Saccharomyces cerevisiae S288C: one gene and its partners. The gene in region 1 interacts genetically with each later gene. Each region holds a gene or a part of one and is shown in the gene's direction. Other genes may lie near its edges. The genes, in order: TIF1, COX3, YGR054W and ABD1.

Region 1 (8,519 bases):
AGACCTGAATTATCCTTTGCCTTAATCAAAGCAAGACTATGGGAATTAACTCAGTTCGAACAAGTTCTTTACTTGGATTCCGACACTTTACCTCTGAATAAAGAATTTTTAAAGTTGTTTGACATTATGTCTAAACAAACCACGTCACAAGTGGGTGCTATTGCTGATATCGGCTGGCCTGATATGTTCAATAGCGGTGTCATGATGCTAATACCGGATGCTGATACTGCATCCGTTTTACAAAATTATATTTTTGAAAACACTTCAATTGATGGTTCTGACCAGGGCATTTTAAACCAGTTCTTCAATCAAAATTGTTGCACTGATGAGCTAGTTAAAGACAGTTTCTCTCGAGAATGGGTACAGTTATCATTTACGTATAACGTAACTATTCCTAATTTAGGCTACCAATCTTCACCTGCTATGAATTACTTTAAACCTAGCATTAAGTTGATTCATTTCATTGGGAAACACAAGCCATGGTCATTGTGGTCCCAAAAGAATTTCATTAAAAACGAGTATCATGATCAATGGAATGAGGTATACGAGGAATTTAAGGAAGAACATCAATTAAATAACGAAGTTTCGAAGCCAAAGATTAGTGATTCCGATAAAACTGAGACTCCTGAAACGATAACCCCAGTGGATGCCCCTCCATCGAACGAACCCACTACGAATCAAGAGATCGACACAATTAGTACAGTGGAAGAAAACGTGGACAACCAGAACGCCGAGCCTGTTCCTAACTCGGATCATAGCCCTGCTCCTAACCCTGTCCCATTGGATTTTACCAAGTGGTTAACAACCTTTATTAACAAAGATCACTTGACTAATCAGCCAGTAAATGAAAGCAGAGAATATTCGAAAGAGAATGATAACAATATAATCAATAGCAGTTCAAACCGCGACCAAGAAAGTCCTCCAAATAGTACTCAGGAACTAAACAGCTCTTATAGCGTTGTGAGTACTCAAGCTGATAGCGATGAGCACCAAAATGCAGAAGAGGAGGATAGTACGACAGATAACGCTTCAAATTCTGGAGAAGAAAGCCACCTCGATGATATAAGCACGGCCGCTTCTTCCAATAACAATGTAAGTAATCAACCAGATGGCAAAAATTTTAGCAATTCTAAAGAAAATAATATCAGTGTCGAATCTAGCCCTTCAAATCCAGAACAGAAAAGGTCAACTGACAATATACAAAAACCAAGTGTTTCTACTAATGACTTACCAGACGACGTAGAACCACATACCTCTGTTGATGACAATATACAGTACTTAGAAAAAGACAAGGAAGGTTATGAAGAATTTCTTCCGGACGTGTACGAGTCAAATGCAATCGATAACGAAGAAGAATTTTTTGATGACGATGCAAGAGATGCTACCGAAGGAGAAACGAAGACGAGTGCAGTTGCAGATAAACAGGAGGATATGAAACTTACAGCAGAGGAAACCAACCAACCGCAACAAGAAATGCCCAACTTCAAATTTGACTGGGAGGACTCTGATTATCTATCCAAAGTAGAGAGGTGTTTCCCTGATGATATTTTTGAGTATGCAGTAGAGTAAACTTCCACGCACATATTAGGAAAATTAAAAGACATATCTATGTAAAGACCTTTTCGACTATACAAAAATGCATAACTATTCTATATACATTCAAACTCGAAATTTACTTTAAAGGTTTATCAGCAACAACATCCGATGCTTGCTGTTTATCTTTTCTCACCTCACAACGTTTATAGTGACTGAAAAATTTTTGCATTCTCACCTCGTCTATTGAATGATGTGCTAAGAACTTGAGCTAACATCACAGAACAAAGGTATGAATATACGCAGCCCTGACATTTGTAGATTTTTTATTTGGTCTCTAGTCTTTTCTTTTCTTATTTTATAACAAATTCGTTAAACGGCCTCCTTCTAATTATATACAAGATGTCTGAAGGTATTACTGATATTGAAGAATCCCAAATTCAAACCAACTATGACAAGGTTGTCTACAAGTTCGATGATATGGAATTGGACGAAAACTTGTTAAGAGGTGTTTTCGGTTACGGTTTCGAAGAACCATCTGCCATTCAACAACGTGCCATCATGCCTATTATTGAAGGTCACGATGTCTTGGCTCAAGCTCAATCTGGTACTGGTAAGACCGGTACCTTTTCCATTGCTGCTTTGCAAAGAATTGACACCTCTGTCAAGGCTCCTCAAGCTTTGATGTTGGCTCCAACTAGAGAATTGGCTTTGCAAATCCAAAAGGTTGTCATGGCTTTGGCTTTCCACATGGACATCAAGGTCCACGCTTGTATCGGTGGTACTTCCTTTGTTGAAGACGCTGAAGGTTTGAGAGATGCTCAAATCGTCGTTGGTACTCCAGGTCGTGTTTTTGACAACATCCAAAGACGTAGATTCAGAACTGACAAGATCAAGATGTTCATCTTAGATGAAGCTGATGAAATGTTGTCTTCTGGTTTCAAGGAACAAATCTACCAAATTTTCACCTTACTTCCACCAACCACTCAAGTTGTTCTATTGTCCGCCACCATGCCAAATGACGTCTTGGAAGTTACCACCAAATTTATGAGAAACCCAGTTAGAATTTTGGTTAAGAAGGATGAATTGACTTTGGAAGGTATCAAACAATTCTACGTTAATGTTGAAGAAGAAGAATACAAATACGAGTGTTTGACCGATTTATACGACTCTATCTCCGTTACTCAAGCTGTCATCTTCTGTAACACCAGAAGAAAGGTCGAAGAATTGACCACTAAGTTAAGAAACGACAAATTTACCGTTTCTGCCATCTACTCTGATTTACCACAACAAGAAAGAGACACCATCATGAAGGAATTCAGAAGTGGTTCTTCCAGAATTTTGATCTCCACTGATTTGTTGGCTAGAGGTATCGATGTCCAACAAGTTTCTTTGGTTATTAACTACGACTTACCAGCTAACAAAGAAAACTATATTCACAGAATCGGTAGAGGTGGTCGTTTCGGTAGAAAGGGTGTTGCCATCAACTTTGTTACTAACGAAGACGTTGGCGCTATGAGAGAACTAGAAAAGTTCTACTCCACTCAAATTGAAGAATTGCCATCCGACATCGCTACTTTGTTGAACTAAGGGAGACAAAAACTTCTTAAAAAAGTATCTTGTGAGGCTATCTTGATAACGTAACATATATTTCTAAAAAGTTATATATGCTTTTTGTATTTAATTTGTTTTTCTTTTTACATTCCTATTATTCTTCAAAGTCCAAAAGACTCTCGGCACGAAGGTTGAAATACCCTATACTAATTGTTTGCTTTGTCTTTTTGTATATATCCGAACGTATCTATCTGAAATTTTTCAAATTTATAAAAAATAATATATATAAAAGGAAAAAAAAAAAAATCGATGCCCTACTAATAGAGATTGGAGCTGAAAAGAAAAAGTGTACATCAAACGCTATATCTCGAGGTTTGGGATGGTTGAGTCAAATGATATTATAAAAAGTGGGCTGGCAGAGAAAGCACTAAAGGCTCTAATTTTACAATGTGAAGAGAACCCATCTTTAAAAAATGATAAGGACATACACATAATCATCAACACGGGCAAAAAAATGGGCATAAACAGGGACAACATCCCCCGTATTATTCCATTAACAAAGTACAAGCTATTTAAACCAAGGGACCTAAACATATTACTCATTACCAAGGATCCCTCTGCCTTGTATAGAGAAACTTTGACGAAAGACGAGCATACGTCGGAATTATTCAAGGAAATTATAAGTGTCAAGAACTTGAGACGTAGATTCAAAGGGAGTAAACTGACCCAACTTTATAAAGATTTTGACTTGGTCGTTGCCGATTACAGAGTTCACCACTTACTTCCGGAGGTTCTTGGTAGCAGATTTTATCACGGTAGTAAAAAATTGCCATACATGATCCGCATGTCGAAAGAAGTAAAATTGAAGCGTCAACAAATGGTCGAAAAATGTGACCCCATTTACGTGAGAGCACAATTGAGAAGTATATGTAAGAATACCTCATACATTCCCAATAATGACAACTGCTTAAGCGTCAGGGTCGGTTATATTCAAAAACACTCCATACCAGAAATTTTGCAAAACATCCAAGATACAATAAACTTTCTCACTGATAAAAGTAAGAGACCGCAAGGCGGCGTCATTAAAGGAGGAATAATATCTATATTTGTCAAGACCAGTAACAGTACTAGTTTGCCTATATATCAGTTTTCAGAGGCTAGAGAAAATCAGAAAAATGAAGATCTGAGTGATATTAAATTGTAAAATTAAAGCATCATCTTTTAAATACGGTATTTAAACACTCCCAATGAAAAAGCGTGATTTTGTCTAACTAATTATAGCATTAATAAAGTGTTTTAAACTTTAATTCCTTTCAAGAATTTGCAAGATTATAGAAATTTAGTAAGCGAAAAAAAAAAAGAAAAAAAAAAGAACAGACACCCTATAAAAATAGAATAAACATAATAAGCCACCATTTGCCTGTCTGATGATATTCTTGATTCTTTATATCTCTTCAGGTATGTGACACCTATACATGCAACGCTTTTTTTGCGTTTTTTCTATACAATAGTTGTTTATTTAAAAGCGTAGGAGCTTCATGCAAATCTGCAAGGTATTTCTTACACAGGTTAAAAAACTACTTTTTGTTAGTCTTCTATTTTGCTTGATAGCTCAAACATGTTGGCTTGCACTTGTACCATATCAGAGACAGCTGAGCCTAGATTCGTATTTTTTTAGAAGATCTCGAGAAGTTTCATCGAGATATGATTTTACAAGGAGGCGACATATGAATCAGACGCTGAAGCTATCTAGCAACACTTATAATGATGAACCACTAAACAAGACCAAGGGAATAAAAAATCAAAGAGAAAATGCTACATTGTTAATGCTTGTGCGTAATTGGGAACTTTCGGGGGCACTCCGTTCCATGAGATCACTAGAAGACCGTTTCAATAAAAACTACCAGTATGACTGGACATTTCTTAATGATGTCCCATTTGATCAAGAGTTCATCGAAGCCACCACAGCCATGGCTAGTGGTAGAACGCAATACGCTTTAATCCCTGCGGAGGACTGGAACAGGCCATCTTGGATCAACGAAACTCTATTTGAAGAGGCTTTACAATTAATGGAGGAAAAAAATATCTTGTACGGTGGGTCAAAGTCATATAGAAATATGTGCCGATTTAATTCTGGATTTTTCTTTAGACAAAAGATATTAGATCCGTACGATTTTTATTTCAGAGTTGAGCCAGATGTAGAGTATTTTTGCGATTTTCCCTACGATCCATTCAAGGTGATGAGGCAGAACAATAAGAAATATGGCTTTGTGATAACTATGTATGAATACGAAGATACAATTCCGAGCCTATGGGAAGCTGTAGAAGAATATCTCGAAGAAACAGAGTCAGCAGATATTGACATGGAAAGCAACGCTTTCGGGTTCGTATCAAATTTCGACTTCATCGGTAAATCTTTTGGTGTCATCGATAGTAACAGCGGCTATAATTTATGTCATTTTTGGACAAATTTTGAAATTGGCGATTTGAACTTTTTCAGAAGTGAGAAATACATTAGATTTTTCGAGTACTTGGATTCAAAGGGCGGTTTTTACTATGAAAGGTGGGGAGATGCACCAGTTCATTCGATTGCTGCCTCACTTCTTTTGAAAAAAGACGAAATCATCCATTTTGATGAATTAGGCTATAAGCATATGCCTTTTGGCACGTGTCCATCTGCATACTACCTGAGACTTCAACAAAGATGTCTTTGTGATAGCAATCACCCAGACAATATTGATCTCAATGTCATCAGCTGCCTGAGAAGATGGTGGAAGGACGGCAGCGGTAAATACTTCCTCAAACACGATTCATAGCGAGAAAAGCGTGTATCCGCATACTATAAATACGTATATATAACAAAGTAACCATCAAGAAAGATGTTCCATACCTCAGGTCATCACCATTTCATGGGTCGCTTAACCGAAAATATCAGAAGCAACCTCTAACGGCGATGGTTTTAAAGATGGATTACCTCAGCACCAACAGTTACACTATTCGGAACCGAAGATTTATCTACGATACTCATTATCCTTTCTCTATCTCACCCTGAAATAATTTATTAAAAATAAACTATGCCAAAGAAGAGAAAAGAGAAAAATTTAAAAAAAACGAGAGCCATTGCAACAGTTTTGGAAGTAAGAATAGGTTGAAAATTAGTCAAAAAGACAAATCCGGCTCCTATAAACCATCAAACAATAGGCTCCCTAAAGCATCACAAATTGTTATGCTTTCTTTTAAGAGAAATGTTTTTTAAAGCATCAAAGGTCCAGGGCAAGAAAAATTCTTTCTGGTAGCAAATGCTATAGTTCACGGCTTTTATAGTCAAAATGTTATATGCGAGAAGAAAAAGAAAAGCGCGAGCTTACTTCGGGTAAGAAGTTCACTTACGAATCAGGGCAAAAGAGCTAATAAGAAGTGAACTAGTTACATAACCGTGTGCTCTGTAGAACACGAGAAAGCTGTTACACAGAACTGTTTTATACCAAGTAGTTCGTTCGATTTGGAAAAGAGAGTAGTCTTTTGCGATGAGTAAAAACAGGGACCCTCTACTGGCTAATTTGAACGCTTTCAAAAGCAAAGTGAAGTCTGCCCCGGTGATCGCACCCGCTAAAGTTGGACAGAAGAAGACCAATGACACAGTGATTACTATAGATGGAAACACTAGGAAGAGGACGGCCTCCGAACGTGCGCAAGAAAACACTTTGAACTCTGCGAAAAATCCTGTGTTAGTGGATATCAAGAAAGAAGCTGGGAGCAATAGCTCTAATGCTATTTCATTAGATGACGACGATGACGACGAAGATTTTGGTAGCTCTCCTTCAAAAAAAGTAAGGCCTGGCTCTATTGCTGCAGCCGCTTTACAAGCAAATCAAACAGATATTTCCAAGAGTCACGATTCTTCAAAGTTGCTTTGGGCGACTGAATACATTCAAAAGAAAGGTAAGCCCGTTTTGGTGAATGAGTTATTGGACTACTTGTCAATGAAAAAAGATGACAAGGTTATTGAGCTTTTAAAAAAATTAGATAGAATAGAGTTTGACCCCAAGAAGGGGACTTTCAAATACCTTTCCACCTACGATGTCCATTCCCCTTCGGAACTGCTGAAGTTGTTACGTTCACAAGTAACATTCAAAGGTATTTCCTGCAAAGACTTGAAAGACGGTTGGCCACAATGCGATGAAACGATTAACCAACTGGAGGAAGACAGCAAAATTTTGGTGTTAAGAACTAAAAAGGATAAAACTCCAAGATACGTTTGGTATAACAGCGGTGGTAACTTGAAATGTATTGACGAGGAGTTTGTTAAAATGTGGGAAAATGTGCAATTACCGCAATTTGCAGAATTGCCAAGAAAGCTGCAAGATTTAGGTCTAAAGCCTGCTAGTGTCGATCCTGCTACTATCAAAAGACAAACAAAGAGAGTTGAAGTTAAAAAGAAGAGACAAAGAAAGGGTAAGATTACTAACACTCATATGACCGGTATCTTGAAAGATTATTCCCATAGAGTATGAGGTTGTTTTGATTAAATCATTTTCGTTTGCATATTAGGTTAAAGAGACTGTGATTATATATACATGCACGTTAGGGTGCAGCATACAACTCAGCTTTATAGTCTACAACGTATTTATAACGAGCATTGGAAACAGGTTACAGGACACCAAAGGGTTTGGGTTTCCAATTTTGAACCCTTGACCAATTTTTTACTGGTGTAGCTCTGTTCTCCTCTTGTTTATTTTTTTTACCTACTGTTCCGAAACTGCTCATTCTCTGTTTCAAAGACGCCAAATCGCCTAGTATATCATTGGTATCAGCCTTTAATGCCGGACTCACTTCCTTCTTCAATGGAACGGAATCTTTTTCCGCAGGAATAAAATCATACAGCTTTATTTCACCTTCATTAAACCTTAATGATAAATTGTCTATGTTTTCCTTCAGTTTTGCCTCGATTTCCACTGTGCTATCAATTTGTTTTCTCCGTTTTTTGTTTCTCCATGAGTTACCAGTAATTTTTTCAGTCTCTAGTTTGGCCAGCATAGATTGGCAAAAATACAATATCAAGTATGACGCATTTTCATCAATAAGTTTCTCCCAATTTTGCCATTTATTTTTAAAATTTTTATTGTTAAGGTTATTTATAATAACATCTAACAGCCTTTTTTGTAGTTCTTTCCAGGCATTGAATTTCCTTTTTAAAATTGTCGTTATATTACTATCATCTTGTTGGGTTCTGTAATTCCTAGCTACCCACTCAATGACCTTCCAATCAAAATTGTTCAAATTAAGCATTAAAACTTTGAGTAAAAGTGGGTCATAATTGTTAAAAAATTTCTCAAGAACCACATTGTGATAAATGGATAATTTCCAAAGTTCTTGCCATTGACGCAAATTTTCCCTGATCATAGTTTCTGATGAACTTGCGTGTGAACTTT
Region 2 (8,099 bases), on another chromosome or scaffold:
TATTAAATCTTATGTATTAAATAATTGAAAACCAATTGATAATACACCATTATTAATTAAAAATAAATTATTAAAAGATTGAGATTCATCTATTAAATTAACTAAACCTGATAAAAATGGAGTTATTAAATTAGAATTTAATAGAATAGATTTTTTATATTATGTTATTTTACCTAAATTATATTCATTAAAATGATATAGTCGTAAAGAAATTGATTTCCAATTATGAAAAACACTTATAGAAATCTATATAAAAGGTTTACATAATACACTTAAAGGTTCTAATTTATTAAAATTAATTAATAATAATATTAATAAAAAAAGATATTATTCTAATTATAATATTTCTCCTTTCGGGGTTCCGGCTCCCGTGGCCGGGCCCCGGAACTAAAAATATTATTGATGATGTATTAAATATAAATCTTATCTATAATTATAAATTACCATATCGTATAAATAGTGATATTCAACGTTTAAATTCTATAAATAATAATAATACTAAATTTATTAATGTTGGAGTATTTGTTTATGATTTAAATAATACATTAATTATAACATTTACTGGTTATAGACCAGCAGCTCTTTACTTTAATTGTTCTCCTTTTCGGGGTCCCGACTGGGGCCGGGACTAAACATGAAATTGCTAAATATATTAAAAATGGTAATGTATTTATAAATAAATATATTTTAAAAAATATTTTATTAGATTAATTATTATTTTTACTTCTTCTTAAAATTAAAAAAGGAGACTTTTTTATATTTATATAAATTATATATAAATTATTCTTTTATTATAAATATATAAAATTATTTTCTTTTAATTATTTTTATAATTAATTAATTCTTCATGGCTATAGCCATAACTTTTAATAATATTCTTTTATTCTTTATTATTATATATATATATATTTATTATTTATTATTATAGAATTTATATTTATAAAAATATTAATATTTTATTTAAAATAAATAATGATTAATTTATAAAATATATATTAATTAAGTTTCGGGTCCCGGCTACGGGACCCGGAACCCCCGAGAGGAGTTATTATATTTATAATTAAATCTTTAAATAATATATCTTAAATTATTATATTGATATTAATATTATATTGATATTAATATTAAATATATATTTAATATTTAGCTTATTATTTTATAAAATTATATTTATATATTATAATATAATTAAATATATTATAAATTTAATAATTTAATAAAAATATTCTTTTTATAATTATTATAATAATTAAATAAATAATAATAATAAGAATAATTAATGTATAATTTTTTTATAAATATTATATATTTTTATATTAATAGTTCCGGGGCCCGGCCACGGGAGCCGGAACCCCGAAAGGAGAAATATTAATAAAATAAAATAAAATTATAATATAATTAAATTATAAGAATTATATTTACTCCTTTTATAATTTATATTTATAATATAATATAATATAAAATAAATATAATATAATATAAAATAAATATAATGTAATAGGTATTCACTCCTCTTTGGGGTTCCGATCCCCCATACGGATACGGATACGGATACGAATACGGATACGGATACGGATACGGGGGGCCGTCCCCCAGAACTTAATATTATATCTTAAATAATTAATATAAATATAATATATTATTTAATAATAATAATAAATAAATAAATAAATAAATAAATAAATTAAATAAATAATAATATTATTATAATTACTTTTTAATAAATAATATTAATATAATATTATATTAGTATTATAAATAGACTTTTTATTATTTTATATATAATATAGTCCGGCCCGCCCCCGCGGGGCGGACCCCGAAGGAGTAATATATTATATAATTATTATTTTTAATTATAAATAAAATATAATTATTATTTATTATATAATTTATATAAATATATATATATATTTATTATATATATAAATATAAATATAAATATAATAATTAATAATATTAAAGTTTTATATATATTAATATATTATAAAAGGTTTATATATATATATAATAAGATAAGTAATAAATTAATTAATTAATAATATAAAAATATATATTATATATTATGTTTTATTTATATATATATATATATTATGTATTATTATATAAATATATATATATATTATATTATAAGTAATAATAAGTATTATATTATATATAGCTTTTATAGCTTAGTGGTAAAGCGATAAATTGAAGATTTATTTACATGTAGTTCGATTCTCATTAAGGGCAATAATAATAATATATTAATTAATAATTAATTTATAATAAATATATTATAATAATTAATATATATATATATAATATATTTAATACAAAGAAAATATATATTATATCTCTTATTTATTTATTTATTAATATTTTAATAAATATAATATTATAAAAAAAAGTTTATATATTTAGTTCCGGGGCCCGGCCACGGGAGCCGGAACCCCGGTAGGAGAAATATAAATATAAATATAAATATAATATAAGTTTGGTATTCATTTAATTATATTATTTAATTAAAAATATTCTAAATAAGAATAAATATCAATAAAGGAGTTATAAATATATATATATATTAATATATATATAAAAATATATATTATTATTAGTTCCCGCTTTGCGGGAACCCCGTAAGGAGTGAGGGACCCCATGGGAACCGAACCCCTATTTAAGAAGGAGTTTTATTATAATAAAATTTATATATATTTAATATATAATTATAAAAATATTATATAATAAATAATAAATAATTATTAATAATAAATAAATATAATAATAATATTATAATAAATTTATAAATGATTATAATAAATTTATATTAATTTTTTATTTTGTAAATACTAAGATTTGAACTTAGATAATATGCACCTAAAAACATACATTTTACCATTAAATTATATTTACCTTATTAATTATATAAAATTTATTAAATATATAATATATTAATTATATAAAAATTATTAAATAAATATATAATATATTATATATAATTTATAATATATATATTATAAATATTATTATATATAAAATATAATATACTACTTATAAAAATATATATATATATATAAATATATATATAAATAAATATTTTATATATTAAATTAAATAATTATTAATAAATTTAATTATAAAGTATAATTTTCAATAGGAATATTTATAAGATTATAATAATTATATGAATTATTATAATTATATATATATAAATAAATAAAATAATAATTATAATAATTAATAAGAGTTTTGGATATATATCTGTGGAGTATATATTTTATAAAGGAGATTAGCTTAATTGGTATAGCATTCGTTTTACACACGAAAGATTATAGGTTCGAACCCTATATTTCCTAAATCTAGATATAATATTATATCTATCTTAATATAATAATATTTATTTATTAAATAAAAAAAAAATAAATAATATTAATTAATATAAGATTCTTTTTTAATTATAATAATAAATAAATAAAAAGAAGATATTATCAATGATTTATATTAATAATAAATATAAATAATAAAAAATATATATAATATAATATAATAAATATATTTCCTTTAATATTAATAAATTAATAATAATAATAATAATAATAATAAAATATTTAAATAAATTATATTCAATACAAATTAATTATTTATATTATTAATAATTGAATAAATAATCCGGTCGAAAGAGATATTAATTCGATTATATTATTTATTTAATTATATTTAATTTAAATATATAAATTAATATATATATATTGAATTATATATAAATTTATTTTATAATTTTATAAATAATATATTATTATAAATATTTAATATAATTTATATTATTATTAAATAAAAGATTTATTAAATTAATATTATTATTTAATTTTATTATATAGTTTAAGGGATAATATTTTATTAATATTTTTTTTATTTATTTATTTAATTATATTATATATATAATATATATATAACAATAAATTTATGACACATTTAGAAAGAAGTAGACATCAACAACATCCATTTCATATGGTTATGCCTTCACCATGACCTATTGTAGTATCATTTGCATTATTATCATTAGCATTATCACTAGCATTAACAATGCATGGTTATATTGGTAATATGAATATGGTATATTTAGCATTATTTGTATTATTAACAAGTTCTATTTTATGATTTAGAGATATTGTAGCTGAAGCTACATATTTAGGTGATCATACTATAGCAGTAAGAAAAGGTATTAATTTAGGTTTCTTAATGTTTGTATTATCTGAAGTATTAATCTTTGCTGGTTTATTCTGAGCTTATTTCCATTCAGCTATGAGTCCTGATGTACTATTAGGTGCATGTTGACCACCCGTAGGTATTGAAGCTGTACAACCTACCGAATTACCTTTATTAAATACTATTATCTTATTATCTTCTGGTGCTACTGTAACTTATAGTCATCATGCCTTAATCGCAGGTAATAGAAATAAAGCCTTATCAGGTTTATTAATTACATTCTGATTAATTGTTATTTTTGTTACTTGTCAATATATTGAATATACTAATGCTGCATTCACTATCTCTGATGGTGTTTATGGTTCAGTATTCTATGCTGGTACAGGATTACATTTCTTACATATGGTAATGTTAGCAGCTATGTTAGGTGTTAATTATTGAAGAATGAGAAATTATCATTTAACAGCTGGACATCATGTTGGATATGAAACAACTATTATTTATCTACATGTTTTAGATGTTATCTGATTATTTTTATACGTAGTCTTCTACTGATGAGGAGTCTAAGGCTATAGAATTATATATCTAAATGATTAATATATATATTATTAATAATTAACAATAATTAATATATTATAATTTATATATATATATTTTATATTATTATAATAATATTCTTACAAATATAATTATTATATATTATTCCTTCAAAACTCCTAACGGGGTTCCCGCGAAGCGGGAACTAATAATAATATAATCATTATACTCTTTTTTCATTTACCTTTTATAAAGATAATTAATAAATTTATTTAATATTTATAAAAAAAAAAATATAATATTAATATAATATAATATAATAATGTAATTATTTATATTTTTATATTCCTTCGAGGTCACCGCCTCACCTCCAGCGGGACTTTTTTAATATGATATAATATAATATAAATATTATTAATTTAACTAATATATAAATTCATATATATATATATATTATTAATATTATTTTATAAAAAATATTTTTTATTTGATTATTATTAAATATTATATAGTTCCGGGGCCCGGCCACGGGAGCCGGAACCCCGAAAGGAGAAATATTAATATATTATAAATATACTATTTATGTAATTATTTTTTGAAGTGAGCACCTATTTTATATATATTTTATATATATTTTATTATATTTTATTAAAAATAGGTGTGAACCTCCATGAGAGAGGAATGAATACCTATTTTATAAAGTATATTTTATATTCTATATATTATAAATATGAACCAAAAAAAGGAGTTTAAAATTTAATTAAATTTAATTAATTGAATTTCTTTATTATTATTATCATAATTATTAAACCCTTTATTAATATAATAATATATTATTTATTATCAAAATACCTACCCTTTTTATAATTTATATCTTTAATAATATAATTAAATATAAAATGTTTATTAAATATTATATAAAAATAAAAATAAAAATATATATATATATATAAATGATAAATAATAAGGAATTCACACTTATATAAATTTAAATATAAAGTCCCAAAAGAAGTATTCATTAAATAAATTATCATTAATTAATTATAATAAACTTATTTAATATTATTAAAGATTAATTTATAATAATAATTATTATTATTATTATTAATATTAATAAAATATATAAATAATTAAATAGTTCATATATTAAAAAGAATTAGAATTAAACTTTAATAAGTGTATTTAATATATAGAATATTAATAGAATATTTATTCTATTTATATATATATTTATATATATATATATTAAATAATATTATTTATATTATATTTTATATATATATTATTAATATAAAAAGTATATTATATGTATTATATATATTATATATTATATATTTAATAATATATTACTCCTTTGGGGTGGGTCCGCCCCACGGGGCGGGCCGGACTATTATAATTAATAATTTTATAAAGTTCCGGGGCCCGGCCACGGGAGCCGGAACCCCGAAAGGAGAATAAATAATTATATATCTTCTTCTTAATTAAATTAAATTAAATTAAATTAAATTAAATTAAATTAAATTAAAAAGGGGTTCGGTCCCCCTCCCTAACGGGAGGGGGTCCCTCACTCATTCAAACTATAATTTAATATATTATGATATTATTTATAATTTATAATATAATGTATAATATTATATTATAAATATTATATAAAAATAAAATGATATATATAATAATAATAATAATAATAATAAAAAAATAGAAAAGAATAATTTTTATTATTTTAGTATATATAAGAATTTAATAAGTTATATTATTGCGGACACCGTTACGCGGAGTGGGGACTATTATATTTTACCTATATATATTAATATTATTATAATTTCCTTCTTTAAAAGAAAAAAGGAATTCGAGAACTTATTATTATATTAATATATTAATAATAAATAATAATAAATAATAAAAAAGTAAATAATTATAAATTATATAAAAATATAATTTTATTATTAAGAAAGGAGTTTAAATATAAAATATAATATTATCATTAAGTTCTAATAAAGGTATATAATGAAGATCTATTAGAACCTAAAAAGAATATTAATATATCTATTATAAAATAATAATAATAAATATAAATATAAAAATAAATTGTAATATTTATAAATAATAATAAAAAATAAATAAGGAATATATTAATTATTAATAATAAATAAATTATATTAAAATATAATATTATTATTAAATTAAAGAATTATATTAAATATATTTATTAAAATTTTATAAATAAGTTAATATTTTATTAAATAATATTTATAAATAATAAAAAAAAATAAGTATATAATTATTAATATATTAATTTATTATGTTATATATTTATATATTTCAAATATATAAGTAATAGGGGGAGGGGGTGGGTGATAATAACCAGAATATTAAATAAATACAGAGCACACATTTGTTAATATTTAATAATATAATCAATAAATATATTATAATAATATAATATAATTAATAATAGATATAAAGTATAAACAATATAATAAATTATATAAAATAAATATAAATTAAAAATAATAACCAAATAATTAATATAATAAATGATAAACAAGAAGATATCCGGGTCCCAATAATAATTATTATTGAAAATAATAATTGGGACCCCCACAATAGAATAAAAAATAAAAAGAATTAATAATATATAAATAATATAAAATATATTATATATATATATAATATATATATATATATAATAAAAAAAAATATATAATATAATATATATATATAAAATAATAAATTATATATATATATATAAAATAATAAAAAATAATAATCATATGAATTTTATAAATATAATTATTATTAATAATAATAATAATAATAATAAAGTCCGGTCCGCCCCGCGGAGGGGGCGGACCCCCGAAGGAGTGCGGGACCCCGTGGGAACCGCATCCCTTTTTATTCTTAATTAAGAAGGAGATAATAATTTATAAAAATTAATATTTATTTTATGTAATATTAATATTAATATTAATATAATATAATATAATATAATACGGATTAAATATTACCAGTTGTTCACAGGTAATATAAAATCCTATTGTTTCACCTATTATTAATTAATAGTTCCGGGGCCCGGCCACGGGAGCCGGAACCCCGAAAGGAGAATAAGTATATATAATAAAATTTAATAAAAAAAAATAATTATATAATAAATATATATATTATAATATTATATAAATATAAAATATAATTGATATTAACATTATATAATTAATAATATAATCAAATAATATAAATATAATATAAAAAGTTTTAATTATTAAAATTATATAAATATTATTTAATAAAAATAAAAATAATAATAATAATAATAATAATAAAGTCCGGTCCGCCCCCTCCGCGGAGGGGGCGGACCCCGAAAGAGTGAGGGACCCCCCCGT
Region 3 (9,325 bases), on another chromosome or scaffold:
TCTCATCATTAGGTTTATACGCCGGTATTTTAACTTCATCTACCGTGATTTCTATTACCACCCCAATAAATGTTCTAACTCAACATTTGAAGAATGTTTTGTGCACATTAGGATGCTGGAGCACCGTTTTAGGTGGTTTAGCTACTGGTGCCTTTGGACTCAGCTACTATCTAGCTGCACCAGGAGAAAGACCAAACTACCTTTTGTGCGGACTTGGTGTCGCCCCATTATCTGCAGCCTACCTATACTTAGTATCACTGTTCAATCACAAGCTAGCCCCAAAATGCACACGTGACCAAAATGATTTAGAAAAGCAAAAGGATGAAAAATTACCCCAACATCACCCGGAAGTCAAAGATGGGGAAGCTGCATGCCCATTCTCAAAGATGAACAACGCCAAAACATTAAAACCTGAATCCGAAAGAAGCGTAAAATGTCACTCATACATGTCATTGCACATGAGCATTGTAACCGGTATAACAATTTTTACCTTTGGTAAGTGTATCCTAGATGGATTCAAAGCATGAACGACGAAGCACGTGACACGTTCCCTTCAAACATCACAATTATTTAAGCGAGACTAATATATATGTTTAGCGAAAAAAAAGGCCAAAAAAACTAGTAAATATACAAAGCAGAGTATTTTTGGCTCTTGTCCACATTGGATAAGAGAATATTTATTTTTCACACAGAAAAAAAAGTTATATACGTATCTCTAAGAAAGTCAAAGACAAATTACGTAGAATGTGATTCATTCCCATTTCGCCCGTACACTCTCTGTCTCTGTCTCTGTCCCAAACTTCCCTTCCTATACGTATTCATAATCTGCTTAAACGTCAACAGTAGTTTCGGAACATCTTCATACGTAGGGAATACGACTTTTTTCTTTTCACCTGCAGCTTGAGCCAAACTAAAACTGGGATCCGGATAAACTATTAATAAAGGATCGCAAAGTCCATACGCCAGTTTAATGGGAATGAAATGATATTGCGAAGTGACGTCAAGAATCGACTTTAAGCTATATCCGAAGTCAAGAAAGCCGAACCTTACATGCGGTCGGAAAGCAAACGAGGAGATTAGATTGGTTTTCATATCCGCTAAATTTTCTTTTGATTTTACTTTGGCTTAATCTAATGCATGTATATCGGAAGAAGCAACCGATCTGGCCCAGTTGAGTCGTGCTACCTTAGTCATGCCCAGGAAAACCGGATTCCTTCTTTTCATTATGACATCCGTTTAGGTCAATAGGCTTTTTTTTCTCTCGCCCGTGCCTCTCCGTGTTCGATGAATGTGCAGCTTGCCTCCGAGCGGGCGAGCCACCTCGAGCGGGTGACGAAATAGTGGAAAAGAAACGGGGAAGCAAAACTGTGCTGTTCTGGCCCGCAGCGGACGAACGTCATTAAAGGCGCTCCATTTCTGTCGTGAGGGTCTTTCGGTGCGGTGGTGAGGCTGCGTAAACAAGCTTGCTCTTCATACCCCTCCCGTGGAGCTAGTTCGGAAGGACTATTGGCGCATCTTCTGTTGAGAGGTTCCGTAATTCTCCGTAACGTCCCGTTCACCACTTTGCATGTGCTCTCACGTACGGCCGTCTCTTTTCGGCCTTCGGCCCGTTCCGATTTTTGTACCCCTTACGTGCTTTGAATTCTAGAAGGCATCTCCTCTCCGATGGCTTGGTACAGGGAGCACTAGGGAAATTGCACATGGAAGTATCTGGAATACAAAGTTTTTGAAAAGAAAAGCCGAGCGTAATATTGGGACAATACCCAGTTCTCAGCCTTTTCAGCGCGGGTATGAGACAGCTTGCAACAGGTAAAAGGAAGTTAGAAGGGTTAGGTGAAGGGAACGATGATGCTGCCTGAGAACAAAAATGCAGCTTCATGTTACATACAATAAAGGAAGGATAATTAAGGGGACCATGCAATAAGGGACAACTTAATTTTGGAAAAATCGGAGCTTAGTTGCATCTACCTACTAATACTTTCCCCAAAGAATAATAATACGAGTACAATACATATATATATATATATATAATATACACATGTAAGTGATGACTATTCTTAATACAAAAAAATTTCCCTTTTATAATAACTATTCTTAGCATTAAATAACCCGTTACTGACAAAAAGCATATAACATAGGACTCAAGATCGACTCTCATACCCTCCGAATCAAATTCTCACTCGTATACGCAATCATTTAAATAAGCACATCATTATCAGCATATACCGAATAATAAAAAGCAAAAATGTATACAAAACTAAGATCTATACAATCAGGAACATTTAGCACAGTTTATAAAGCATGGAGTACTACACATAACCGCTACGTCGCTTTAAAGATTACTCCTAAATACAAAACTTCAGAAGCCAACATGAAGAACGAGTATGATGTAATGAAGATTTTGAGTTCTTGTAATCCTCACCCCAACATCTGTTCGATGCTCGACTTTTACACGGATGACTCGTACTACATCATGGTGCTAGAATACTGCGAATGTGGTGATCTTTATGACTTTCTAGATATTGCTAAGAGTCAAGGTAGCCCGTCGTCTCCATCTTTGATTCAAATTGATATGCAAAAGATAATCAAACAACTGTGCTCAGCAATCAGCTTTGCTCACAGCTTGGGTATTGCTCATCGTGATATCAAACCAGAAAATATTTTGCTAACGATAAATGGTGACATCAAGTTGGCAGACTGGGGTCACGCTATCCAATCCCCTAAATCTAACGACTTCCAGATTGGTACCGATAATTACAGGGCGCCAGAAACTTTCTCTGGCCGCGTTAGTAACTCTTGTTTTAAGAAGAATTTCGATCGGTCATCGGCTCCATTGTATAACACATACCAAGCTGACTATTGGTCATTGGGTGCCACCATATTTTATCTGATGTTCGGCGATTGCCTTTTTAGAGTCTCCAAATCAAAGAAGGTTCAGCATCTAAAAAATTTCGATGAGTTTGAAAAAGATCCATTTGCATTCATTTACAGGAAATACGTAGTACCAAGGCTCTCCTGTGGTTACAATGATGAAGAAGACCTACACGTTAGCCTGCAGCATACGAGGCAGTACATATGGCAAGATCTACCCGACATTTATGATGTCTTCCATTTGTGCAAGATTATGGTTGATACCTTATTAAAGGTATCGAACGCTAAAGAGAGGTCGATGGAGAATTTCATCAATGAAGTTGATTCTGCATGGAACAAAGATAGCTCGATGGACAGCTGCTTCTCGTACCAAAATAAGATTGATCTGTTTTGGGAACAGTGGTCTGTGAACACGGAAACAGTACCAGCAAAGTTCCAATTGAAAAATTTTGAGAAACCTTGCCTAATTCAAGATGGAAAATAAGAAGTAAAAAAGACCTTTTGAAAGTTTCGCCTCATTTTCCTTGATCTGACTTTTTATCCCCTGCTTATCCAATTTTAGTTAGGAACTTTGGCATAATTTCAGTATTACATACTACCTAATCGACATAAAATAATATTACATATTCATTTTTTTAAAAAATAATCATAATCAATTTATCCTTTTTATTCCTTTTTTCTCCTGTGCAAGGTTGATGGTGATGTTTATGATGGTGTGTTTATTATTTACAAATAAAGATGCTATCTAATTCTTGTATATCGTATTAACATGCAAATGCACCGCGAGTGGCAATTTTCTTCTCGTAATGGATCAGTTCAACATCTTCAATGGTATGAACCAGAATTTTCGAATTTTCTTCGTTAAATTCGAATATGAATGTTCCCTTAATCAGCCGGGATAATCTCTTTTTTTTACTTCTTTTACCGTCGCCATCATTTTTCTTCTTCTCATCTTCTTTGGAATTTTGAGTTTCGTTGACCTTATTTTCCATTGACCTTTCAGCTGCATTTTCAAGGTACTCAGAGATAACACTTTGGTTCAAATTATTGGCTGTAGGATGTAAAATGTAGTCTATGACTGGTACCGACCTCATTGAAAATGAACCGCCTGCACCATTGCCTCGTTTCTCCTCTTTCAATCTGTCATTAATTTCTAATTTGGTAATCTTGCAATGGTCTTCCGGTATGCAGCTTTGCCATTTGATCACCAATTTGTCATTACATGTTATGGTATTATAACTCTGAAGAGCAGATTTAACTTCTTCATCATGCGATGTCGATGTTAGAGTCTTTACTGAACTTATATGCAAGCGACATTCATCGCCCAAGATAAACTTTCGTACTATCATTCGCATTGCATTCAAAGAAGCCATGTATTTTGATTTTCCATGTAACACTGGAATATATGGATGCGATGTTGGAAATAGTCTAAAAACAACGTTATCCGCCAACACTGACTCCTTGAACATTTTTTGTAACAAATTGGGAACACCTTTAACCACTAAATAATCTGTTATTTGCCCCAAATTGGCCACTTTTTGAGAATTGGAGTACCATCGAGGAAAGATTCCTTTGATAGATATTATGCCGGCTCTGCAAACACACTTTAGTAACATAAGTCTTTCCCCCTATTATCTATGAATATAAACTGTCTATCTTTCCTTGGTTGTGATGTATCGTTTTCCGTAGAGGCTTGCAGCTTTATGGCTCATACCTGTCATCCCTCTTTATGGGCCTTTTAAGGGCGCTCTCTACATTGTATTCTATTCATTTTTTTCGTAACCGTAACTACGCGCCTTCTTAACGCAAGGCGCTCGACTCATCATGAGATGCGTATGAATGTCTTTCAGTGTATAGAAATACATCTCACCAAATCTATTTATTTAACTAATATTTCTTTTAATATTTTCCTCAAGAAACTCAGGCAGTTAATGTTGTGTCCTATTTTTTTTAGTTCTTTCCCATTTTTATAGCACTCGTACAAAAGAAATCGAAATATTTCAATATGTTTAGACTCGGTTCTATGTGTTAAAACTGCAAGATGAAAAAGTAACATCTATCTTAGATTAAGGTCCTTTCTTTATATTCTTTACTTTATTAGTGAGCAGAAATATTATTAAAAATTGCCGCTGTCATACTGTACGATATTATTACCCGACCGCAGAATGTTCCTCAATACTTTCTTTTTCTTCCTTTTTTTCACTTCGCTTTCTTCATGTCCATCAATGAAATTTCAGCTTCATAGCGATTTATTTTCAGTGTACGTTATTCAATGAAGATTCCTTTTCCTCGATCTATCCAGACGACTAGACATAGCGAGAATTCTTTACGGTAGAAGCAACCTATAGATTACCGAATCATAACTTTCTTTAGTGTTGATTGAGACGTGTTGTGTTTAAACTATCCATTGCATCTCGATAAAAAAACATAGTACTACAACAAACAGTCAGGTTCAATAACACCTAAACATTATGTCATCTCAGTTTTTCCTGAAAACCTCTCAGGATATAGAGCTCTTCCAAAGCTACCCAACTTTTGAGCAATCCAACACAAACTCCAAGGATTTCCCTGTCATTTCCTCGGTTTTATCGCCATGTGGCAGATTTTTGGCTTTATCTACGAAGGAGAACGTCAAAGTTTTTACAGGTCCATGTTTGGATAACGTTCTATTAACAATGAAGTTGTCCGACGTCTATGACCTACACTTCTCTCCAGCAGGTAACTACTTAAGCACTTGGGAGAGAGCGTCTATACAAGACCCAAATCACAAGAACGTTAAAGTTTGGTATTTGAATAAACCATTTAAGAAAGATTGCGTTTCGGAGGATATAGTCCCTGCTTACGAATATCAAGCCAAATCCCAAAGCGGTTGGTTTTTACAATTCTCCAAATTAGACAATTATGGGCTAAGACTTTTTAAACACGACTTGAAGATTGTTAAATTAAGCTCCGCTAATGCCGACAATTTCGACTTCCAATCTCCGTTTGCTGTCTTGTCTGATGATGAAACGTCCCAACATTTCACCACCTACCTAATCTCTCCAGCTGAACATCCAACAATTTGTACTTTCACACCAGAAAAGGGTGGTAAACCGGCTCAATTAATCATATGGGCCCTCTCTGAAGGTAAAATCACCAAGAAAATTGCCTCCAAAACTTTCTTTAAAGCTGATTCCTGCCAATTGAAATGGAATCCATTAGGTAATGCTATTTTATGTTTAGCTATTACTGATTTTGATTCCTCAAACAAATCATATTATGGTGAAAACACACTATACTTACTGTCTTTCCAAGGTGTCAACGGGACTTTGGGTGGTAACTCTGTACGTGTTTCTTTAACCACTGGACCTGTCCACGATTTCACTTGGTCGCCAACTTCAAGGCAATTCGGTGTCATCGCTGGTTACATGCCAGCAACCATTTCCTTTTTTGACTTAAGAGGTAATGTTGTCCATTCATTACCTCAACAAGCCAAAAATACCATGCTTTTCTCTCCCTCTGGTCATTACATTCTTATCGCCGGGTTTGGTAATTTACAGGGCTCCGTGGAAATCCTAGATCGTCTCGACAAATTCAAGTGTGTGAGTAAATTTGACGCTACCAACACTTCTGTCTGCAAATGGTCACCGGGTGGAGAATTTATCATGACAGCTACCACTTCACCAAGATTGAGAGTGGATAACGGCGTTAAAATATGGCATGTATCAGGCTCTTTAGTATTTGTTAAAGAGTTCAAGGAGCTTTTGAAGGTAGACTGGAGGTCACCATGTAATTACAAAACTTTGGAAAACAAAGACGAAGCATTTTTCGAGAACCATATCATTAATAACTGGGAACCGCTACCTGATTCGACCACATCTTCACTTGATCCTAAAATATCCAATAAATCAGAATTGCAAATACATTCTAGCGTTCAAGAGTACATAAGTCAACACCCAAGCAGAGAAGCAAGCTCCAATGGAAACGGATCTAAGGCCAAAGCTGGAGGCGCTTATAAACCACCTCACGCAAGAAGAACAGGCGGTGGACGTATTGTCCCCGGAGTTCCTCCTGGTGCAGCAAAGAAGACCATCCCAGGGCTAGTTCCGGGCATGAGTGCCAACAAGGACGCCAACACCAAGAACAGGAGAAGAAGAGCCAATAAAAAGTCAAGTGAAACGTCACCTGATTCTACTCCGGCCCCATCTGCTCCTGCCTCCACAAATGCCCCCACAAACAATAAAGAAACTTCTCCAGAGGAGAAGAAAATAAGATCTTTACTAAAGAAATTAAGGGCTATTGAAACCTTGAAGGAAAGACAGGCCGTCGGTGACAAACTAGAAGATACGCAAGTTCTAAAAATTCAAACTGAAGAAAAAGTGTTGAAAGATTTGGAAAAGTTGGGTTGGAAGGATGAATAAACTAGAAGAAACTGATGTATCCATACAACTGTGTAAATATTAACAACGTCAAATAATACTACTTTGAATTGTTTTTTACTGTTTCCCAGGAGAATTACGCCAACCTCCCCCCTTTCTTTTTTTCCCTTGTTTTATTGTACTTTTCCACATATTTTTTTAACATCAAATAGTAATTGATACATACATAATTAGTGAGCATTTTCCTTATTTTTACGTCTCTTCTTGGCGGATTGCCACCAGCCGCATCTTACAATGTATGCCACGATACCGCCAGGCAATAAATGAATATGGAGTGTCACTTCGGCTCCGTAAGCCGGCGCTGCATCCGCCACCACAGTTTTTTTTAGCGTCGCTGTCGCCGCTTTGCCACAGAAAAAGAAAAAAAAAAAAGAAACGGCGCCGTGTAGGGTTTTGTATAACAGATCGGCCTAGCAGCCAGGAGATGGCACGGCGCCAACTGAAAAGTTAGACTGTGGAATTGCCGTTCACCACACTCGAGTGGCATCTAATAAACTGCCACAGTTGACTCAAGCGGTGCTACCTTCGCAGTTATTGCACACCATGGTAACACATAACACAGTCTTGCATTACAAATGTGGTTCCTCCTACTTGGCGGTGAATTTCTTGAGTCAGCCCGTTATTTTCATATGGTGATGTAAGATTACATACAGTATATATATATAAGGATGATTCTCACACAAACTTTTCCGCTGTTCATCATATTTTGTTTTTGGATTAGTTTCACATTCTGTAGAAATCTTTAAAGACAAGAGAAGAGAAAACAAAGGCGGAGCAATGTCGGAAGGAAGAACGTTTCTGTCACAGTTGAATGTCTTCAACAAGGAGAACTATCAATTTTCTTCTTCTACTACAAAAAAGGAAGTAAGTAACTCGACAGTGGATGCTGACAACGGTGCCTCCGATTTTGAGGCAGGCCAGCAATTTGCTACAGAATTGGACCAAGGTGAAAAGCAGTTAGGTATTTTGTCGTGTATTGGGCTTATCTGTAATAGAATGCTTGGTACCGGTGTTTTCGCCGTTTCCTCGACCATTTACACACTATGTGGGTCTGTGGGGCTTGCATTAATTATGTGGGCAGTTGGCGCCATTATTGCCATTTCTGGGTTATATGTATACATGGAATTCGGTACGGCTATACCGAAAAATGGTGGTGAAAAAAACTACCTGGAGGCTATTTTCAGGAAACCAAAATTCTTCATTACCTGTATGTATGCTGCGTATATTTTCTTCCTAGGTTGGGCTGCTGGTAATTCCATCAATACAGCTATTATGTTTTTAACTGCTGCTGATACTGAAGTGACCAAATGGAATCAAAGAGGTATTGGTGTGGCCGTCGTTTTTTTTGCATTCCTAATTAATTCTCTGAATGTCAAGATTGGTCTATATTTGCAAAACATTTTAGGTATTTTCAAGATTGGTATTGTCCTCTTCATTTCTATTACCGGTTGGGTTGCCCTTGGCGGTGGTCTCAAAGATGGTTATCAATCTCACAACTTTCGTAATGCTTTTGAAGGTACTGAAACCGCCACTGCTTATGGTATTGTTAACGCCTTATATAGTGTTATTTGGTCGTTTGTCGGTTACTCCAATGTTAACTATGCACTTGGTGAAGTTAAGAACCCTGTGAGAACTTTGAAGATTGCTGGTCCTACATCGATGGTCTTCTTGGCTATAATCTACATTTTTGTGAACATTGCTTACTTCGCTGTGGTTCCAAAAGATAAGTTAATTTCTTCAAAATTGATTTTAGCTGCTGACTTCTTCGATATTGTGTTTGGCGGCCAAGCCAAGAGAGCAGCAGCCGCACTGGTCGGGTTGAGTGCCTTAGGAAATGTTCTTTCTGTCATTTTTTCTCAGGGTAGAATTATTCAACAACTAGGACGTGAAGGTGTGTTGCCCTTTTCTAATTTCTTTGCCTCTTCTAAGCCATTCAACTCCCCAATGGTTGGTTTGTTTCAACATTTTATTGTTTGTACAGTAACCATTTTAGCCCCACCTCCAGGTGATGCATATTTGCTAGTCCAAAATTTAAT
Region 4 (8,457 bases), on another chromosome or scaffold:
TCATCCAGCATTGCAAGCAGCAACTGCTTCTGGTGCATTTGATGAATTTGCTGCGGAGGCTGCTTCTTCTTCCATACCAGTTGACGGCAGAATGGTTTTGTATTTGAAAATTGTTAAACGTTACTCTCCATATTGCCGTGATTCCAGACAACTAGCCAGATTAACAACAGGGACCGCTGTCAAATATTCCGTTTTGCAAGAAGTTTTGAACCAATTCCAAACTTTAATCGTTAACGATATTCCTATTCCTGAATTACATAATTTGAAGCCAACGTGTGTTTAAAGTTAATATCCTTCACTTTTCACCTTCTTTCTCTACAGAACAAAAAAAGAAAGAAGAGTAACAATTTCAAATTTATATTCCCTATGAATTGATGTGATAAACTTACCATTATTAATATTATTATTCGATTGTCAGTTTTTCCCTTCCTTATTTTTATCGTTATTTCATTATTTTTTATTTGTCATATCACATCTCAAATCAACTAAAAAACTATTATTATATTCTTCAAGCCTACCATTTTCTTGATAAATTTTTTTGAAGTTACTTTTATTCCATGTTTTGTTTTTATTTGCTTTTCTACTTTTATTTTCCCCTCTTAATTTTTTTTTAAAGCATTTACCTTTCATTATATCCTATGAATTCTCATTGTTTCTTTCCCACTTTTTTAAATTCCATTTTATTCGAATCGATAAAAATTTCAAGATTTTTTTCTACATCATATATTATATATTATTTTGTTTTTATTTTTCCTAATAATTCTCTTTTTTTTTTTTTATTATGATTGAATATGCTTTAAATTACCACCCTAAAAATTTCAGAACTAACTACGAAAGTATATAGCACCACGAGTGAGTTAAATTCTAAAAACTAGTATTTAGTACTCTTCAAAGACAAGCTTGCAGCCTTTACGACCCCCTCTTTAACTTTTTGCTCCAGCAATTCTATACTTAATTGTATGTCTTTCTCATCTTGGCCTTCGATCAATAAGTATAGTTTAGGCTCATCGTTTTCATTCTTTGGTTCCTTCCCTTCAGGGTAAAATTTACCCTTGTTAGTAATACTACATCCGGTTTCATGCTTGATAAATAATAAGGTTGTATTCTTTGTAGCCTCCCATCTTACAATCTGGGGTAAATCATTAATATAAACCTTGGCGTAAAAGATGATCGACCCGTCTGTAGACTCTTTGAATAGTTCATAATTGAGTCTCGGAATAAGCGCAGAAGACTCAGACACACTGTCATGCCCTTCGCGTGGATTGCTGATTTTCTTTTCCAAGTCATCGCTCCTCTTATCATTCTTTTTGAGCTCCAAATCTTTATTTTGAGCTTCCTCTCTTTTACTTTTGATATTTTCCAGTCCTTTGCCGCCGAACCCTTTCGACAACCTAAACTTACCCTTTTTCATACCGGATTCAAACTTGGCACTCATTTCCTGAAGTTCTTTTGCTTGCAGAGGGTCTAAAGCTTTTATTTCTTCATCGCGCATTGCCTTGCTCAAGATATAAGCACCTGACAGTTCATCATGCAATAGAAGAGTAATAGCAGTACCGGAGCGACTACCTCTGGCAGTTCTTCCAGTAGTATGAACATATTGCGCGAAAGTTTTGACGGCGTTATAGATAATAACCAACGACACTTCGGGAACATTTAAACCTCTTGAGAGAACCTCTGTACAGAGAAGAATACTGTTCTTTTCTCGTTTGAACTTTTCTAAGTTCATAAGCCTTTCTTGATATGGCTTACCTGCATGAATAGCACAGGTCACAATTCCAGCATTTAACAGCTTTTTTGAAATGAAGTCGCAAATATTCTGACTTGATACAAATATAATGGCTTTAGCATCAACTTCTTCAACATCGCTTGACTGTCCGTCATTTTCACTTTGAACCTCGTCAAAAAATTCACTGCGCTCATGGATAAGCTGCACCAGATTGTCAAATTTTTCATCTTCTGAATGGCATATTCTAAACTTTTGTTTTACGTTTTCATTAACCATTCCCTTTGAATTAATCGTAATAGATATTGGGGAATGCAAAACTCTTACGGCAAAACTGCGTAGTTTGTTCGGAAAAGTTGCACTAAATAGAACACACTGTTTATCCGGTCGAACAGTTTTCATGATTTGCGTTATTTGAGGTTCAAAACCTAAATCGAACAGCCTGTCTGCCTCATCCATTACTACGAACGTTATTCTTTTAGTACTAAGTAATTTCCCATCATTTAGTGTTAATATATCAATAAATCGTCCCGGTGTGGCAACAACAATCTCAGTGCCTCTTTTAAGATCAGTAATCTGCTTTTTCATTTCAGAACCTCCTGTACAGCATACTGATCTAATGGATGTATCTGCTTCTGTGAATTTAGTAACTTCTTCATGTATTTGTAAAGCTAGCTCTCTAGTTGGAGCCAGAATTAAACCCATGGGCCCTGTTTCATGTTTTGATAATGGCCGTTGAGCTTTTACTTGTCTTAGCAATGGTAAAAGATAGGAGATGGTCTTGCCGGAGCCAGTTTTTGATATTCCTATAACATCACGACCTGACATAATAGCGGGAAGAGCCTGGGATTGAATAGGCGTTAAGGAGCCAAAGTGCAACTTTTCTGTAATTAAAACCATGGTGTCCGTTGATAGTCCCAGTTGAGACCACTTTGTGACTGGTTTGGGGCAACCTGTTCCCTTTATTTTGATATTATCCAGACTAAGTCTAAGCTCCTCAACTTCCATCTCTGACATCGAGGAAACTGTTTCAGATTCTATATAAAAATTTTTTTGGAACGGCTCAAGCTCTTCTGGAGAGTAATAAATTTGCTTTACACGTTTTTTTGCTTTGAGTTTAGCAATTTTCGCTATATTAGAATTATCCGTATTATCTTCAACATCCTCATCGTCGGTTCCTCCAAGTTCAAACAATTGATCCTCTACATCAAGAATGTCGCCTCTGTCGTACATGCCTTTACTATTACTCATTTTCTCCTCCTTCAATGACGTCATAAACTCATCCAGTGGATCTTTTTCATTATCATGCTCTGGAGCTTTTTGAATGTGCTCCTTCGATCTAAAAGAAACTCCTATTTCAGAATCATCGTCATCACTGAAGTCGAAGGATATTTTCTTCTTTACCTTACTTCTCTTCGACTTTTTCTTCGAAGGCTTAACCGATACAGGTTCGTCAGATTTCCTAAATTCATTTTTTCTCTTCCGAAGCTCTTCTTTTACACGTTCCTGTCTTTCCGTAAACTTTTCAGTAGTCTGCTTACCTTCTAAACTGTTAGTAACAATGTCATTGCGTGAAGTTTGATGCTCTTTCTGAGCATCAAATTGTGCTTTTTTTTGTTTCCATTTTGCTAGTTTTTTCCTCCTTTCCTCCAATAAAGACTCCCTATTAATATTTTGCTTCGAATCAATAGTTTCCATACCTCAAATAAACCCAAGGCAACAGCGTTATGATTTCCCTTCTCGAATTATTTGGCGCTGTATTATATTAGAAAGAACTCTAATACCTTTAGTTTGGTCCATTGCTCTAAATGACTTTAATTAGTTTCATCTAATCCGGGTAATGGTAAATCAAGATATTTCAACATAAATTAGAAGATTTCTTATTTTAATCCTTTACATGTGAGACACTTTTCCGATTAATGTGACAACTACTACAACGTGGAGTCGTCCATTATCCGTCTTAGAAAAGTAGAATGTCAACCAAACCAGAGAAGCCAATATGGATGTCACAAGAAGACTATGACCGTCAGTACGGCTCAATTACTGGTGATGAATCGTCCACAGTCTCAAAAAAAGACTCCAAAGTTACTGCCAATGCGCCTGGTGATGGTAATGGATCATTACCAGTTTTGCAAAGCAGCTCTATCCTTACTTCTAAGGTGTCTGATCTACCCATTGAGGCAGAATCCGGGTTTAAAATCCAAAAGAGAAGACATGAAAGGTATGATCAAGAGGAAAGATTACGCAAACAGCGTGCTCAAAAATTGAGAGAAGAGCAACTAAAGAGACATGAAATAGAGATGACTGCAAATAGATCCATAAATGTTGACCAGATTGTCCGAGAGCACTATAATGAACGTACAATAATCGCCAATCGCGCTAAGAGGAATCTATCGCCTATTATTAAGCTTCGTAATTTTAACAATGCGATTAAGTATATGTTAATTGACAAATATACAAAACCTGGAGATGTCGTTTTAGAACTCGGATGTGGCAAAGGTGGTGATTTAAGAAAATATGGTGCTGCAGGTATTTCACAGTTTATTGGTATTGACATTTCCAATGCCTCTATCCAAGAAGCTCATAAGAGATACCGGTCCATGAGAAATTTGGACTACCAAGTTGTGCTAATTACTGGGGATTGCTTTGGCGAATCATTAGGTGTTGCAGTAGAGCCCTTCCCAGACTGTAGATTTCCGTGTGATATCGTTTCGACGCAATTTTGCTTGCATTATGCTTTTGAGACCGAAGAAAAAGCAAGGAGAGCTTTACTGAATGTCGCCAAATCACTCAAAATTGGTGGTCACTTTTTTGGCACGATACCAGATTCAGAATTCATTCGTTATAAACTGAATAAATTTCCCAAAGAAGTGGAAAAGCCATCTTGGGGAAACTCCATTTATAAAGTGACATTTGAGAATAATTCATACCAAAAGAATGATTATGAGTTCACATCGCCTTATGGTCAAATGTATACTTATTGGCTAGAAGATGCTATAGATAATGTTCCTGAATATGTTGTGCCATTCGAAACCTTAAGAAGTTTGGCTGATGAATACGGTTTGGAACTAGTATCGCAAATGCCTTTTAATAAATTTTTTGTCCAAGAAATTCCCAAATGGATTGAGAGGTTTTCGCCTAAAATGAGGGAAGGTTTACAAAGATCTGATGGTAGATATGGTGTTGAAGGGGATGAAAAGGAAGCGGCATCATATTTCTATACCATGTTTGCATTCCGTAAGGTAAAACAGTATATCGAACCGGAAAGCGTAAAGCCCAACTGAAATAAAAATGAATAGAAACAATAACCCTACTATAAAGCATCTGTATTTCGGCCGTATTACAAGACTTCTATATGTAGTAAATAAGTTCTGGGGAAATGCATAACGATATATGTGTTATTCTATAATGCAGTAGTTACTGTCATGGTTTGCGAATTGATTAACATGCATGGAGGTAAGCCCTCCAACCAAATATCCAAGTCCTCGACATATTGTAAACTTGCATCGTGATCTTCATGTGTTCCAAGAGCTGGAACTGGCAAGGTTGAAAAAATTAAATCCGAACTCTTTGACATTTGTGTCATCACATCATTCAGAACCAAATGTTGAGCAGTGCTGGGAAGATCATTGAAACCTAAATTTTGCATCGCTGTGACTAAACTATCTTTTGAACAACAAGGTGATAATTCGGGAAGAACCGGTTTCTTTAATTTGTTGCCGTTGCCAATACCGCTCCCAGTACCGTTCCCATTCGAAAGGTCAGGTTCGGCAATTGGGATCAGTGTCGGCTGTTCACCCGTGCCATCTTCCACGACTCTCGTCCTCGGCAAAGTATTACTCGAGAAAACGGGTCTTAACGACTGTGTTGACACATCGCTTTGTAAATTCTTTACGAGTAAATTTGTTCTGTCGGAACCGGTCTTCGATTTGGTCGTTAAGTCCTTACCTACTGAAATATTAGTCGATGCCGAGAAGGCATCACGAATTGACGTAAGATCTGTATCCAAATCGGAGTCCTCACTCTCGCATGGGGTATCAATGCGGTTAGTTGGCATTCTCGTATTCATTGTAAATGAGACACCCAATTTCTGAACCCCAGACGTATATTTTCTTGATTGTGTAAATTGCTTTGCTATCGTTTGAGGTTCAATAGTGGAAAACCTCCGCTTCGGTTTTAATGTATCACGAGCTTCAACCAAATCTTTCCACCATTCATTATCGGCCAATTTCGAGTTGACATAATCAAACACGATTGGGTCTCCCTTGACAATTGTGTTGTATACTCTGAATTGATCTAAAGATACTACCAAAACCTCTGCGTCAATTCTTAGAACCTGTAATAGCTTTTTCATTCGTTGAGTTTCGTTCGTTCTATGATATTCTTGTTCCACAAATAAAATAACTCGAAGCGAATGTGTGCGCTTCCATTCAGGAACAGTAACCAAAATGGCAGCTAATTGTAGAATCAGTGTATACGTATCAAAGTTAGTAGTGATAGCCGCAGGCTGGTCACCCTTTGCCTCAACTTTTCCGCACATTTGGATGGGATAAAGATCTATAGTTTTTTTTGGAAAGCAGCTGTCCCTTTTGTTCGGTATCTCTAAATTTTTGAATCCATGCGCTATGGCAATATTGGATTGCATCAGTGATAGATCTTCTACAATTTGAACCCATTGTTGTACATTAACTTTGGTTTCATTTTTACACTCATCCGTAGGCAATGGAACATTGATTTTGACATCAGAGCATGTACTACGTGGCACTGTAGCTTTTATTTCCACCTGTTTCTGAAGGTTATTTTGGCTGCGACTTTGTGGGATGTGCTTTCTATAACTTTCGAGGTCAAAAAAACCGACAACAGTAATGTTTGGTTTCATACCTCCAAGCCCGGAACCAATAAAAACATTCCTAATTCCCCATATAAGGGAGGGACCAGTCCCAACTTGGACAAAAGCCTTTATTGCTGCCATGTCTCTGATCTTCATCCAAGCTTTCTGCTGAGTTTTTAATTCATTTAGTTGCTTCGGAAAATCCGCAGTTACTGCAACATGGCCTAAAATATACAAACCACCTTTTTTCAAATGATTGCAAAACCTTATTAAGTTCCAGCTCGTCCTTGGATTATCTACAAACAGCAATATTTGAGGCCTCCAGTATTTAATATTGTCTTGACGTAGGCGAAGCAAATACTTTCTCACTTGATGATATATTAAACTTTGAGACACATCACCCCAAGACTTCGGTGGTGAAAAATAATGAATGAATAAAAATAGCAAAATCATAGCCAAAAACAAGACAGACGCTGAGATGCCATCAACTATTAACATCGCAACAACAGAAAGTAATGCGCCAATTGCTGTAGTATACCTGTTAAAGTATTTGAAAGAGGGCCTGAAATTGGGAGCAGAGGAAATACCTAATAGGAAGCACGCCAAATTCATGACCACAAACGTCATTAAGAATGTCATTGTGATAAATGTGGCGATTTTATTGACGTCTGAAAACAAACATAGCTGTGTTAGAATCCAAGTAAAAATCAATGAATATAACGGTGAATGAGCAAAAATCTCCAAACCAGGAATAATGTTATCCTTTGCAATTGCTTCTAATACATAAGCAGCACCGAGCATCCCCACTATGATGGAGAAAAGAGAAGTAGCCATTTCACCCATGAATATAACCCACTGAACGGAACTGATCGTCTGTATAATTTGTACTTCATCATATAACGATCTTCTGGGAATGGAACAACCCATGGAGAAGACAACAACGGCATAACAGATAAAAGTGAAAAGTAAACCCCATAAGGTACCCTTAGGAATTGATTTAGAGGGCTTTCTCAATTCACTTGACATTCCTGCGCCCGCGAATATACCAGCTGTAGCAGGAAAAAAAACGCCAAATAAATCATTGAATGTTTCCTTACCTTTGAGTAACGAACCTGCTGCACCTTTTGTTAAGTGAGGGAGCAGGTTATCATGAAAAGTTTGCCATGAAGGACCTGTATAACTGATACCGCCTTCAGTGAATGGCGATCTTATCAATGCAGAAAGTGGAATGGAAAATATAGAAGCTGCCAGTACCAAAAAAAGAATATTCCCTGCTCTTGACACTGTTTGCGAGCCAACAAAAGCCACAGAAAAACATAAGAAAAGAATGACCGTGGCATATGTAAATTCGTGCCAATGCCCTCTTGGTAGTAGCTCTCCCAAAGCTGCAGGTGGCTCGCCTTGAGCAGAATAACCCAAGTTATAGAGTAAAGGTTCGATAATACCCACTGCGTTCATACCTGCATTGAACACCTGCCCTAAGAAAAAGACAAGCCCAATGGATCCACCAAATTCAGGTCCTAAACTTCTTGAAATCATATAATAAGCACCCCCGCCCCTAACAGTCCCGTTTGTAGATATAGCAGATATACTTAACGTGGTGAGAAGATTAATAGTGTAACTCAATAGCAGAAGACCGATGGTGCATATAATACCTAACTGACCCAAAATGAAGCCAAAACGAAGAAACATAAGGATAGACAATACGTTTAAAGCAGTAGGCACAAATACCCCATCGTATGTTCCCAACTTATCTTTGTTTGGGTTATCAGGATCATACTTAGAGGAAACTTTTTGGCATTCAGGGGTCGCCTGATAATTGAAATATGTTTGACTTATTCTCCTTGCAGACAACAGTGAAGAAGATTCATTTGAAGAAGATATTGCCGACGATGGCCGATGC

Evidence for each region.
Region 2: of TIF1 (region 1) and COX3, extra expression of one rescues a mutant of the other (dosage rescue), as found in Saccharomyces cerevisiae (one study listed by BioGRID).
Region 3: mutations in TIF1 (region 1) and YGR054W together harm fitness more than expected from each alone (negative genetic interaction), as found in Saccharomyces cerevisiae (2 studies listed by BioGRID).
Region 4: mutations in TIF1 (region 1) and ABD1 together harm fitness more than expected from each alone (negative genetic interaction), as found in Saccharomyces cerevisiae (2 studies listed by BioGRID).

What each region holds. Positions count from the first base shown.
Region 1 is NC_001143.9:553,052-561,570, forward strand, and holds TIF1 (translation initiation factor eIF4A), read left to right. Parts: upstream 1-1,935; coding exon 1,936-3,123; downstream 3,124-8,519. Other genes in the region: glycogenin glucosyltransferase GLG1, read left to right, coding at 1-1,569; UTP30 (Utp30p), read left to right, coding at 3,467-4,291; mannosyltransferase KTR2, read left to right, coding at 4,626-5,903; transcription factor TFIIE subunit TFA2, read left to right, coding at 6,615-7,601; rRNA-processing protein LAS1, read right to left, coding at 7,738-8,519.
Region 2 is NC_001224.1:75,274-83,372, forward strand, and holds COX3 (cytochrome c oxidase subunit 3), read left to right. Parts: upstream 1-3,939; coding exon 3,940-4,749; downstream 4,750-8,099. Other genes in the region: Q0255 (maturase-like protein), read left to right, coding at 1-349, 390-599, 631-711. UniProt on the Saccharomyces cerevisiae protein: Component of the cytochrome c oxidase, the last enzyme in the mitochondrial electron transport chain which drives oxidative phosphorylation.
Region 3 is NC_001139.9:591,351-600,675, forward strand, and holds YGR054W (translation initiation factor 2A), read left to right. Parts: upstream 1-5,342; coding exon 5,343-7,271; downstream 7,272-9,325. Other genes in the region: SCM4 (Scm4p), read left to right, coding at 1-527; YGR050C (uncharacterized protein), read right to left, coding at 736-1,092; protein kinase FMP48, read left to right, coding at 2,246-3,355; MCO32 (Mco32p), read right to left, coding at 3,636-4,487; MUP1 (Mup1p), read left to right, coding at 8,067-9,325. UniProt on the Saccharomyces cerevisiae protein: Functions in the early steps of protein synthesis of a small number of specific mRNAs. Acts by directing the binding of methionyl-tRNAi to 40S ribosomal subunits.
Region 4 is NC_001134.8:686,933-695,389, reverse strand, and holds ABD1 (mRNA (guanine-N7)-methyltransferase), read left to right. Parts: upstream 1-3,696; coding exon 3,697-5,007; downstream 5,008-8,457. Other genes in the region: YBR238C (uncharacterized protein), read left to right, coding at 1-283; DEAD-box RNA helicase PRP5, read right to left, coding at 872-3,421; VHC1 (Vhc1p), read right to left, coding at 5,127-8,457. UniProt on the Saccharomyces cerevisiae protein: Responsible for methylating the 5'-cap structure of mRNAs.